3 linked regions of the Sus scrofa genome follow. The protein of the gene in region 1 purifies or fractionates together with the protein of each later gene. This does not show direct contact. Links are inferred from orthologs where the notes say so. Each region holds a gene or a part of one and is shown on either strand. Other genes may lie near its edges.

The links. Proteins that work in one complex are often made in the same cells at the same time.
Region 2: the proteins of INTS1 (region 1) and PPP2CA purify together in Homo sapiens (affinity purification with mass spectrometry; 5 studies listed by BioGRID and IntAct, with this or other methods). This does not show direct contact. The link is inferred for Sus scrofa from reciprocal best matches to the Homo sapiens genes INTS1 and PPP2CA.
Region 3: the proteins of INTS1 (region 1) and PPP2R1A purify together in Homo sapiens (affinity purification with mass spectrometry; 4 studies listed by BioGRID and IntAct, with this or other methods). This does not show direct contact. The link is inferred for Sus scrofa from reciprocal best matches to the Homo sapiens genes INTS1 and PPP2R1A.

What each region holds. Positions count from the first base shown.
Region 1 is NC_010445.4:1,002,777-1,006,921, forward strand, and holds the start of INTS1 (integrator complex subunit 1), read right to left. Parts: upstream 2,809-4,145; 5' UTR 2,518-2,808; coding exon 2,460-2,517; intron 1,801-2,459; coding exon 1,510-1,800; intron 1-1,509. UniProt on the Homo sapiens protein: Component of the integrator complex, a multiprotein complex that terminates RNA polymerase II (Pol II) transcription in the promoter-proximal region of genes.
Region 2 is NC_010444.4:136,505,619-136,509,147, forward strand, and holds part of PPP2CA (serine/threonine-protein phosphatase 2A catalytic subunit alpha isoform), read right to left. Parts: intron 3,321-3,529; coding exon 3,111-3,320; intron 1-3,110. UniProt on the Homo sapiens protein: Catalytic subunit of protein phosphatase 2A (PP2A), a serine/threonine phosphatase involved in the regulation of a wide variety of enzymes, signal transduction pathways, and cellular events.
Region 3 is NC_010448.4:57,944,437-57,947,965, reverse strand, and holds part of PPP2R1A (serine/threonine-protein phosphatase 2A 65 kDa regulatory subunit A alpha isoform), read left to right. Parts: intron 1-1,635; coding exon 1,636-1,736; intron 1,737-3,529. UniProt on the Homo sapiens protein: The PR65 subunit of protein phosphatase 2A serves as a scaffolding molecule to coordinate the assembly of the catalytic subunit and a variable regulatory B subunit.

The DNA.
Region 1 (4,145 bases):
TACCGCGGGGCCCCCTGGTCTTGAAACACACCCGTTTTTCTATGAATGGGTCATTTTTTCTAGGTTGTCAAGTTAACGGGCATGCTGCCACGCACAGCTCCCTTCTCTTTTCACCCGTGGCTGCTCCTCCGGCCTCTCCCGGGCTCTGCCTCGCAGAGGCTGTCCTGCCGTCTCTGCAGAGAACCCCCACCCCGGGCTCTGGCCCTCTTCCCGGGCCACGGGCCTCTGCCCTGCCCTTCCCACTCTGCTCTTCCACCGACTTAATCGGCCACGGCCCTGCTTCTCTGCCGGGACCGCAGCTCGGGGCCTCCCCGCCCTGCTCCTCTGCGCGTCCCTCTCAGCCAGGCTTCGGCTCTGTCGCGCGTCTGGCTCGCACTGCATCTGTTACTGTTCACGTCCACACTTCCTCGCTGCCCTCGGGACTCCTCCTCTGACCCAAGACCTTGTCAGGATTGGGTTTTAGACATCCGAACAGCGGTTGAAAAGGGAACGGGAGTTCCCGCCATGGCGCAGTGGTTAAGGAATCAGACTAGGAACCATGAGGTGGCGGGTTTGATCCCTGGCCTCGCTCAGTGGGTTAAGGATCCGGCGTTACCGTGAGCTGTGGTGTAGGTCGCAGACGCGGCTCGGATCCCGCGTTGCCTTGGCTCTGGCGTAGGCCGGCGGCTACAGCTCCGATTCGACCCCTAGCCTGGGAACCTCCATATGCCGTGGGAGCGGCCCTAGAAAAGGCAAAAAAAAAAAAAAAAAAAAGAGAAGGGAGCCTGTCAGAGGGAGGGGACAGACCAGCAAGGGAACAGAGGCGCGAACCTGTTCCCACAGGAGAGGCGCTGGCCGTCCACCAGAGTGCGTCACCCTGGCACCAGCTCCTCCCCTAGAACGGGGCCAGCCGTCCACCCCCAATTCCGGAAGCCCTGGCGTGACCCGTCCACTGCACTGGTAAGAACTGACAGGTGGAGTTCCCGTAGTGGCTCAGTGATTAATGAACCTGACTAGGAACCATGAGGTTGCAGGTTCGCTCCCTGGCTTCGCTCAGTGGATTAAGGATCCAGCGTTGCCGTGAGCTGTGGTGCAGGTGGCAGACGTGGCTGGAATCTGGCACTGCTGTGGCTGTGGCCAGCAGCTGCACCCCTAGCCTGGGAACCGCCACGTGCCGTGAGTGCGGCCCTACAAAGAAGAAAAAAATAAGAACTGATAGGGGCCAAGAGGGCCACTGGGTGCCTGCGGTCAGCGCTGCTCCCGCTACGTGGCGGCAGCTCACTCGGGCCCCAGACCTACCTGTGCCCTCCTGCCGTGAGTCACGTGAGCACATCCCCTGAAGCACATGTGGGGGGAAGGCACCCAGATGAGATGCTTTGAAAAACAAACTCACAGATGATGCTTCTCTCCTCTTCTCCACTAAGCTAGGCCACGCCCACGATGCCAGGCGGGGCAGTGGCCTGTGCGAACGCCGGGGGCCCTGGGGCGGGTGGGCTACCTCCTCTGCGCACGTCTAAGGGCTGACCTTACCTTCGATGGGGACCACAGATGGTTCCTTAATCGAGGGAGAGATAGCGCGTTTCTCCGCCACTGCAGCCTCAGCCAGGCGGCCCAGGGCACTCAGAGGGGGTGTGGAGGAGAGCTTGGGGCGTTTGGTGAGGCCAGTCAGGGACGAGGCACCGGCCAGAGCAGCCGCAGCATCCCGCTTGCGCTCCGAGGGCAGGCCAGAAGGCGCAGGCTTCAGCAGGGTGGATGCCGTCTTTGACTCACTGGCCTGACCCTTCGAGCCCAGAGCAATGAAGTCCCCTGGGGGAGGGTGCCCTGCGGAGAAAAGACACGGAGCCACGTGCTCCTTCACACAGCGGCCGAGGGGGCAAGGGTGCTGGAGACCCACTCCGGCCTCCCGCTACTTCAGAGACGAAACGAGGATCGGGGGAGGCCAGGAACAGGTCAGCCAGCCAGTCCACAGCAGAGCGGGGACTGCATCGCCGCCAGTCACAGAGCTCGCCACAGGCCCGGCGGTCTCTGGCTCACAAGGGCCAGTGCCCGAGGCCTCCGCCGGCTTCGGAAACGGGCGTGATCACGCTCACTTCCAGGTGAGGACGACCAGGCACGGGGAGTTAAGTAACAGGGCCAAGGCCACACAGCTGGGGAGGGGCACAGCAGGCCCCGAGGCCAGCCTGCCTTCAGCCACCACGCCGGTGCCGCCGCTTCCCCCGACCGGGACTCCCGGGCTGCTGTCTACGCCTCAGACGCACCGTCGGACGAGAAGCCTCGTTCTGAAGGCAGTCGCGGCTGTCCCAACCCAATCCCCCGGCCCCCGCCGGGACTCCAGAGCCCCAGCGAGGCCCGGCCCAAGGGCTCCTCTTCGAACCCCACTCCTGGACACCGCGCTCGCCTCGGAGCAACGAAGCCGCAACCCGACCCAGGAGCCGGGCTGAAGCCCCGATGCCGCACGCCGCCGGGAGAGGCCCGCGCACCTGAAGGCTTGGCCGCAGCGCTGGGCCTACGGACGGTGGTGGGCTTGGCCCGGTTCATTCTGTCCCCGACCCCTCGCCGCTCCTCACTACCGACGCCTCAGCGGGGAGAGGACCAGCGCCACTCAGGCGTCCGTCGCTCGCCCATTCATTCGGATCCGCCGTCGGGCGCTGGGGCCCCGGGTGAATGGCCCGCCCCGCCGCGCGCAGCGACTCCCGAAGCGGCCGCGCGACCCCGCCTCGGACCCGGGCAGGGTTTGCGTCGCCGGCAGCCGCGCCACACCAACTCTGGCTCAGCGCATCGGTCCCCAACCGCCGCCACAGCCGCTCCGGAACCGGAACTGCCCTCAGAGCCCCACTTCCGGAACACCCGGAAGCAAAACAGCGCGGCGGGGGGGGCGGGGGAGCGCGGCGAGGCCAGAGGGTCCGCGGCCCCTGAGCGGTGCCTGCAGCGCCCTCAGGCGGCGGGAGGTCGGCAGGGCCTCGGAGCCGCCGGTCTCTACCTGGCGAGGTGGGCCGGGTCACCCGCTCCTGCAGGTGAGGCTGACCTTACTTAGTGATGTGCCCAAGGACACAGCTAGGAAGGGTGGCCTCGGATCCTAACCCATACGTGCTGGGCCTTCAGAGGCCTCTTCCTTTTGTGGGTCAAAGGGCAGAGCCTGGGTCCCCATGGTGGGGTCCAGGAGGGAGCTCAGCACTGGGAGTGGGCAGAGCACACAGAAGGGCAAGAGGGACCGGGCATCCCCAGGCCGGCCCAAGTGTGGGGCCAGGTGTCATCAGAGCAGGACTGAGAGCATCAGCCTCAGTGTGCTGGCCGGCACAGTGGGTCCCTGTGACATGTACCAGGTCTGTTCGGTGGCAGAGGATGCCAGCACCTCTGCGCGAGAGTCCATGCTGAGACCCTCATGTTCTCCTCCTCCTGGGGGTCGTCACGCGGTCCTAGGCCCTGCAGCCCCACCTCACCAGGCACAGGGCTGCCGGCCACTTGCAGCCGGTGGCCTCCTTATGGGAGGCCCTGACGGGTCCGGCTGAGCGGAGGGTCTCTGCAGGCGCAGTCCTCGCAAACCAAGTGCCTCAGAAAGGCGGCATCCCAGAGAAACGCAGCCCAGCATTGGCTAAAGCTGAGAAACAGCTCCTGCAGTAACTACTGCTTTGGGGGAAAGCGAGGAGTTTTACAGAGGGGGGTCCCAGTTAGAAACTTGCAGACAGCGGGCCGTCCAGATGTGCTGGGCCAGCTGCCAGCCTCCATCAGTCAGGGCCCCTCTGGGGGAGGAGTCACAGCTGCAAGGCCTTCTAGTCTAGTCTAAGGAGGGGCAGGGCCCACGTCAGGTGCTGGCTGAACACACAGTGGATCCTCTTGGCAGCCCTGAGCTTCTCCAGATGGGAACTCAGAGGAGCTGGGCGTCCCCGGGACGCAGGCGCAGCCAGAAGCCCTCCTGGGGTGGGTCACGTCTCTGAGTGAGGCTTTGTGCTAAGAGACTCTGTGGCTCTCACAGTCCAGCCCCAGCCCCACGGGGGAGACTTCCCTAACCGTGGACCCCACCAGCCGGCTGACTCGGGCCCCGACGTCTCTAGCCCAGGGTACCATCAGCTGCAACTGGGGTGTTGGGGTTCTAAGCCAGGGGTCCCCAGGTTCCCAGGGGCTTCTGCTGGAAGCACAGCCCCCAAGGACGGTTGAGGCCCTGGACG
Region 2 (3,529 bases), on another chromosome or scaffold:
GTCTGATTTTGACTTTAATTTGCATCTCTCTGATGATAACTAACGTTTGAGCATCTTTTCATGTGCTTACTGGCCATTCATGTATGTTCCTGGTGGAAACATCTATTCAAATATTGTGTCTACTGAAAATTATTTGCCTTCTTATTATTACAGGTTTAAGTATATATATGAATACAAATACTTTTTTTTTTTTTTTTGGTCTTTTTGCCATTTCTTGGGCCACTCCTGCGGCATATGGAGGTTCCCAGGCTAGGGGCCTAATCGGAGCTGCAGCTGCCAGCCCATGCCAGAGCCACAGCAACGCGGGATCGGAGCCGCGTCTGCAACCTACACCACAGCTCACGGCAACGCCGGATCGTTAACCCACTGAGCAAGGGCAGGGATCGAACCTGCAACCTCATGGTTCCTGGTCAGATTCGTTAACCACTGTGCCACGACGGGAACTCCTACAAATACTTTTTCTTACTGTTGTCTTTTGAAGAACAAAAAAATCAATTTTGATGCAGTCCAATTTATCCTTTTTTTTTTTGGCCTTGCCTGCAGTTTGAGGAAGTTCCCAGGCCAATGATCAAACCCACACCACAGCAGCGACCCAAGCCACTGCAGTGACAACACTGGATGCTTAACCCACTGCACAAGAGAACACCTATCAGATTTTTAATTGGTTGTGCTTTTAGTATCTTAACTAAGACATCTTTGCTGAACCCAAGGTTACAAAAAAAAAAAAAAATTCTTTTTTTTTTTTTGGCTTTTGTCTTTTTAGGGCTGCACCAGCGGCATATGGAGGTTCCCAGGCTAAGGGTCAATCGAATCAGAGCTACAGCTGCCTGCCTATGCCAGAGCAACGCAAGACCTGAGTCACATCAGCAACCTATATATACCACAGCCCAGAGCAACGCCAGATCCTTAATCCATTGAGCGAGCCCAGGGATAGAACCCACATCCTCATGGATGCTAGCTGGCTTTGTTAACCACTGAGCCATGACATAACCACATGACATAACATGACATAACTCCAAGGTTACAAAGATTTTTAATTTTAATTAATCATTTAAAATGGCTGCACCTGCAGCATGTGGAAGTTCCAAAGCCAGGAGTCAACTGGACTGGCAACTCTGGCCTATGCTGTAGCTCAAAGCAATGCCAGATCCTTAACCCACTGAGCAAAGCCAGGGATTGAACTTGCATCTTCACAGAGACAATGTCAGGTCCTTAACTCGCTGAGCCACTACAGGAACGCTTCTATGTTTCTCTTTAGAAGTTTCACAGTTTTAGCACCCATACTTAGGTCTATGATCAATTACGGTCCATCTAAATATATGGTATGAGGTATCTATGGTTCATTTTTTTGTGTGTGTATAGATACCAAACTGTAATAGTCTCCTAGGGCTACCATACAAGGTACCACAGACCAGAAGCCTTAAACAATAGGTATTTATTTCCTAACAGTTTCTAGAGGTTAGAAGTCCCAAGATCAAGGTGTCAGCAGGAGTGGTTTCTTCTGAAGGCCCCTCTCTCCCCTTCAACTAAAAAAATGGCCATCTTTTCCGTGTGCCTTTTCGTCATCTTCCCTCTGAATCTGTGTCCTAATCTCTTCTTAGAAGGACACCAGTCAGGCTGGATTAGAGCTCATTCATATGACCTCACTTTATACTCTCATTACCTCTTCAAACACTGTCTCCAATACAGACACCTTCTGAGGTATTGGGAGTTAGGACTTCAACACATCAATGTGGGGATCAGGTGGTAGTGGCACAATTCAACCCCTGACACATTCAAATGTGAATTCTTAAAGGTAGCATATTCATTACTCCTCTGAGCACTGGGATTCACCCTGGGCTTTTAAAGTAAAGGTTAGCTTGCAAGGCTGCTTTCCAAGTATCCAGAGTTACTAGAGAAAACTTACCATCCTTTAATTCAACTACTACAATTTAGAGATGCAAAACATAACCACCTCCAAAAATGTTTTGTAGCAATTTACAAGATTTAGACTAGTAGCTTCACATTTACATTTTATTAATTGCCTAAAATGCAGCTCTTGCCAAAACCACACCTGCTTTTCCAATACTAGATCTTGGCAGCCATCTCACCAGTCTACATAATCTCTGTCTTTTTTTGTCTTTTGCCTTTTCAGGGCCGCACCGCGGTATACGGAGGTTCCCAGGTTAGGGGTCTAATCGGAGCTGTAGTCTCCGGCCTACGCCAGAGCCACAGCAATGCAGGATCTGAGCCGCATCTGTGACCTACATCACAGCTCATGGCAATGCCAGATCCTTAACCCACTGAGTGAGGCCAGGGATCGAACCCGAATCCTCATGGTTGCTAGTCGGGTTCGTTAACCACTGAGCCATGATGGGAACGCCTACATATTCTTTAATAAAGTTTTCTCCCCCAAAGTCAAGTCAAATAATTTATTTTAAGAGAAAGACCATCCTAAAAAGCTCTTCACTGTTTTGTTTCACCTTCAGATCTTTGCAAATTCCCCAAAGCTACAGCTGGTACAAAACAACTTGCTTTATCACTCCCATTGCTCTAGGTTACATGTCATGTTTAATGGCTACAAACTACTCCACTGAGATAAACCATAATTTCAATATTCACTTATTGTTAGTTATTTATTTCAATTCTTTTTCTTTTCTTGGCCGTGCCTATGGCATGTGAAAGTTCCTGGCCCACACCACAGCAACAACCTCAGCCATTGCAGTAACAACTGCTGGATACTTAACCCTCTGCTCCACAAGGGAACAACCTCAGCCATTGCAGTAACAACTGCTGGATACTTAACCCTCTGCTCCACAAGGGAACTCCAATATATCAATTCTTTTTCTGGTATTAAAGATAATGCTACAATTTATGTTTTCACCTAAATAAAGCTCCTTTCCTCTTATTAAATTCTCCCTCAGTAAAATTTTAATAATAGAAATATTATGTCAAAGAATATAAACATCTGAAACCTTTGTTCCTTTATAATGCTTCAAAAACATCTACAAAGGTGGAGTTTTATTCTAAAAGCTAACATTCAGATGGAGAAAACCAAAGACGACTGGAAAAGAAATTCAAGAGGACTGTCTTACCCAATTCAAACTGCTCAGACATAAAACTGAAATTACCTTAAGAGCTACAAGCAGAGTAACTGTTTCAACGGAATAATATCCTCTGTCAACGTAATCTCCCATAAACAGGTAATTCGTATCTGGTGATTTGCCACCAATTCTAAACAGTTCCATGAGATCATGAAATTGCCCGTGCACATCTCCACAGACAGTGACTGGACATCGAACCTCTTGCACGTTGGATTCTTTTGTCAGGATTTCTTTAGCCTACAGGTGGAAAAAAAATAAACCAAAATATTTGGCATTAAACAACATCAACAAAGACATATTTAGTGACATTTCAGATATGTTTAAGTTATACTTTAAGTAGTTGTCAAGGGAAGACTTGGCATAAGGTGAAATTGCAGGCAATTATGATCCCATTAAATTAAGAGGACACGCTATGACTGCAATCTATCCACTAACTGTTTTGCCCT
Region 3 (3,529 bases), on another chromosome or scaffold:
TTCTTCCCTGTCCCATCCTCTCACCGGGGCCAAGTGATGGTGTGGGGGACGGGGCAGGGGAGGCAGGGATCACTGCCCCCAAGTCCTTCAACCCTGGCGGAAGCTGAGGCCCAAAGAGACCCTTTGGGCCTTGCCCGCAGTCACGGTGCATGACCGAGGGGCACAGGTGTGTCTACCTCTGAATGCATGTGAATGGCGGGCATCTGTACGTGTGACGACAGGTGACTTTGAGCAGGTGACCTCACTCCACCGCTCTGCAGGGGGGCGAGGAGGACCTAACTCCCCGTGCGGTTGGGGGGTTTGGAGCTCCATGCAGAGCCTGATCCACGAAGACAGAACAGGCTGCTGGTGATTCTTTGATGAGGTGGTGGGGGTGCAGCCGGGAGGGAAGCTGGCGGGACTAAATAGTCAGCGGAGGCGGGGCTGACCGTGGCGACGTGGGGGAGACGCAAGGCCCCGTTAGCTTGGGGGTGACGGATCTGGGTCAGGCCGGAGGAGGCCGAGAGGACGGGGAGGCTGGGAAGGCAGTTCTGTGGAGGCGGGAAGGGTAGGAATCAGGTGCTGGCAGCTCCTGTGTGTTTACTTGGCTGTGTGGGGCTTGGCCAAGGGTCTGGCCTGGAGGTGGAGTCGGGTCCGAGCCGAGGCCGCGGACAGGCCTGAGTCTGGGAGGTGGGCACAGCAGGGAGGGTGATCTGAACGCGTGCAGAGGGAGCCCGGGCGCACGGCGGGTGGAGCCACGCTGGCCGGAGCTTTCTAGAGCGCGGACCTGTGCTGGGCCCACGTGAGCTCTTCGCAGAAAGCAGCTACTTCCCTTCAGTCAGAACAACCGTGTTGTCGTCTGGGGCTGAGGGGATAATCTCAGAGGTGAAGGTAGTTGCCCCACAGCCACAGAGCGGGACTTGAACCGTCCACAAGACGGGGAGTCTGCCTCTCGTAAACTCAGGACGTGGCAGTGGACCCGAGGGATGCCAGTGCCTCGGCGAGCGGGGGGGGGGGGCTGGCCAAAGGCCTTTGCGTTTAGGCCTTGGGGCAGAGCAGTTCTTTCTTGGTCGCCTTCTTTCAGCGACGTTGAGCAGGCGGAGTGCCCGCCGTGCCGTGCTGTCTCTGGCAGGAGCTGTGGCACAGGCTCGGGCGGTCCTAGCCTGAGACGTGGTCTCCGCAGAGGCGGCGTGGCTGGGCCGTGAGCCCAGAGAAGGGACCTGCCTTTCTGGGGGCATCCTGGAACTCTTCCAGGACCCAGTAGCCGACCTGAGTGTGCAGGGACGGAGAAGAGCTCCTCAGGCCGAAGCGGGAGGCGTCGCTGGCAGCGACAGCGCTGAGGGCGAGAGCTGAGAGTTGCAGGGCAGGCCCTGCGCTCGGACACAGGCCTTGTTGGTGCCTCACTGTGCCCTTCCCTGAGGGCGGAGGTGGTCGGCACCGGCGTGCAGCTGCAGAAACGGAATGCAGCGTCCCACCCCTAGTCACGGGCGCTCTGTTGCCCGACCCCAGCCTGTGTCTTCATCTCTGCCCGCACAGCGGAGGGCGGCTGCCAGTTCGAGGAGGCGGTGTGGAGCCTGCTTGTTCTGAGCTTGGGCGACGGAGGGGCCGGGGTCAGACCTGGGGCGGGATTGTGACACTGTCTGTCTTGTCCCCCAGACACCATCTACGATGAGGACGAGGTCCTGCTGGCCCTGGCGGAACAGCTGGGCACCTTCACCACGCTGGTCGGAGGCCCCGAGTACGTGCACTGCCTGCTGGTGAGTCTGGAAGTGGACCGTCCCCCGCCCGCCGCTGGTGGGGTCTGGCCCACGGTCCCGCCAGCCTGGGCGCAGGCCATCCCCGTGGAACACATCGGCCTTGGATGTTGACTTGACCCTGGCAGGTCAGCAGTGGCATTTAAAACAGCAGTCACGAAAATGCTGGCATCGGTGATGCCGTCGATCGGGCGTGCCTGACCAGAGCTGGTCCTTCCTGGCACTCTGCACATGAGGCTGAGGTCGGGCTGGGTTCTTCCGCTTAATTGCTGTGTGACTTGTAAGTTTCTTACCCTCTCTGTGCTATGCTTTCCTCTTCTGTTGAGGGTGAGGCATTAACGCTTACCTTAGAACAGACCCAGCAGTGGTCTCAGCATGGTGCTTGCTCTGTGCAGGTGCTGACAGATGTTAGCTGTCATCATGCCCCGTGTGATGAGGTCGTGTCTGCCCTTAGGGTATAGACAGCCTCCCGGAGCACAGAGGGGAGGCAGCTTGTCCAAGGTCGGGTGGCAGAGCAGGGATTCCAGGCGTGTCCGAGTGACGCTTCCCCAGGCCCTGCCTCCCCAGCCTGGGCCGCCCTGTGCTGGGTAATGGCTGGGGACACAGATGTGACTGCTGTTTGGGAGAAGAGACGGGAGGAGGTGCCCCAGTGCTGAATTCTGGGTCAGCAGAACCTAGGGGGAGCTCCGTTCCCGGTTTTCTCTGTTCCTCGGAGCCGTGGGCTGTAGCTGTTGCCTCCGTCCCCCCGCAGTCATTCTGTGTTTCACGTCTAAAGGCACATTTCCATACGTTGGCGTCTGCGCTTGGGATGTTTACAGTTAGTTACTGTCAGCAGGCTTTCTTCCTTTTCGTGGTGCATGAAATAAGGTGTTTGTTAGAATTGTTGGCATCTTGGATTTGAGCAAAGATGGTAGTTTGTTTCCTTCCAAACATTCATGAAGCATTAACTCTAGGAAAATGTGATAATTACCGTGAAATTCTGGTGTCCCGTCTTTCATCTGTGTGCATGTGTAATTTGTAGATGTACACACACAAGGTCATATGTGAATGGGGTAATTTCATACCTTTGACACACAGTAGAACTGTCTAATGCCCTCCTCTGATGCGACGTGATGTGATGTGGTCGCTGGGCCAGCCTGCAGGGGGTCCCTTGAACTCCATGGAACTGTCTGCAGCCCCTGATGCTTGTCACTTTTCCTGAGGAGAGAATTCACAGCTTTTAGCAGCTTCTCAGAGGACTCAGAGCAGAAAACACTGTTGAGAGCCCCACGCCTTCTCAAGGGCCCGGGGCCTGGGGCCAGCCAGGACTGGAGCCCAGGGCGCCTTCCCCGCCCGTTCCGGGTCTTCCCCCTGCGCGTTCTCAGCGAGGGAAACCCCAGTCCTCCCCGTGCTGCCTTTGGGGAGCACGTGCCCTGGGGATGGGTGTCTGCTGGCCCCTCTGGGTCAGGCAGCACTATCCCTTTGCCCAAGGCTTCCCTCTGTTCCCTGCCCGGGCCCAGGAAGCACTTGCGTCTGTGATTGCTTTCCGATTTCCCTGCTGTCGGGCTGGGCTGGACGTCAGACCACTGATCTCCGCATCTTTGTGGGAAGATTAGAATGAGTTGAGTCCCCCTTTGTTAGGTCAGTAATGACTGAGTTCCCGCCCCGTGCTAGGTCTGCTGGGCTCAGGGGCCGCATTGCTCAGCCAGTCACATGTCCCTCCAGGCCTCACGGTAACAAGTCAGGAGGCATGGGCCCCAGGGTGCCCCGGTGGCGTGAGCGCCTGAGGCCGTTGCCTGTCAGCAGCTCTGTCCTCA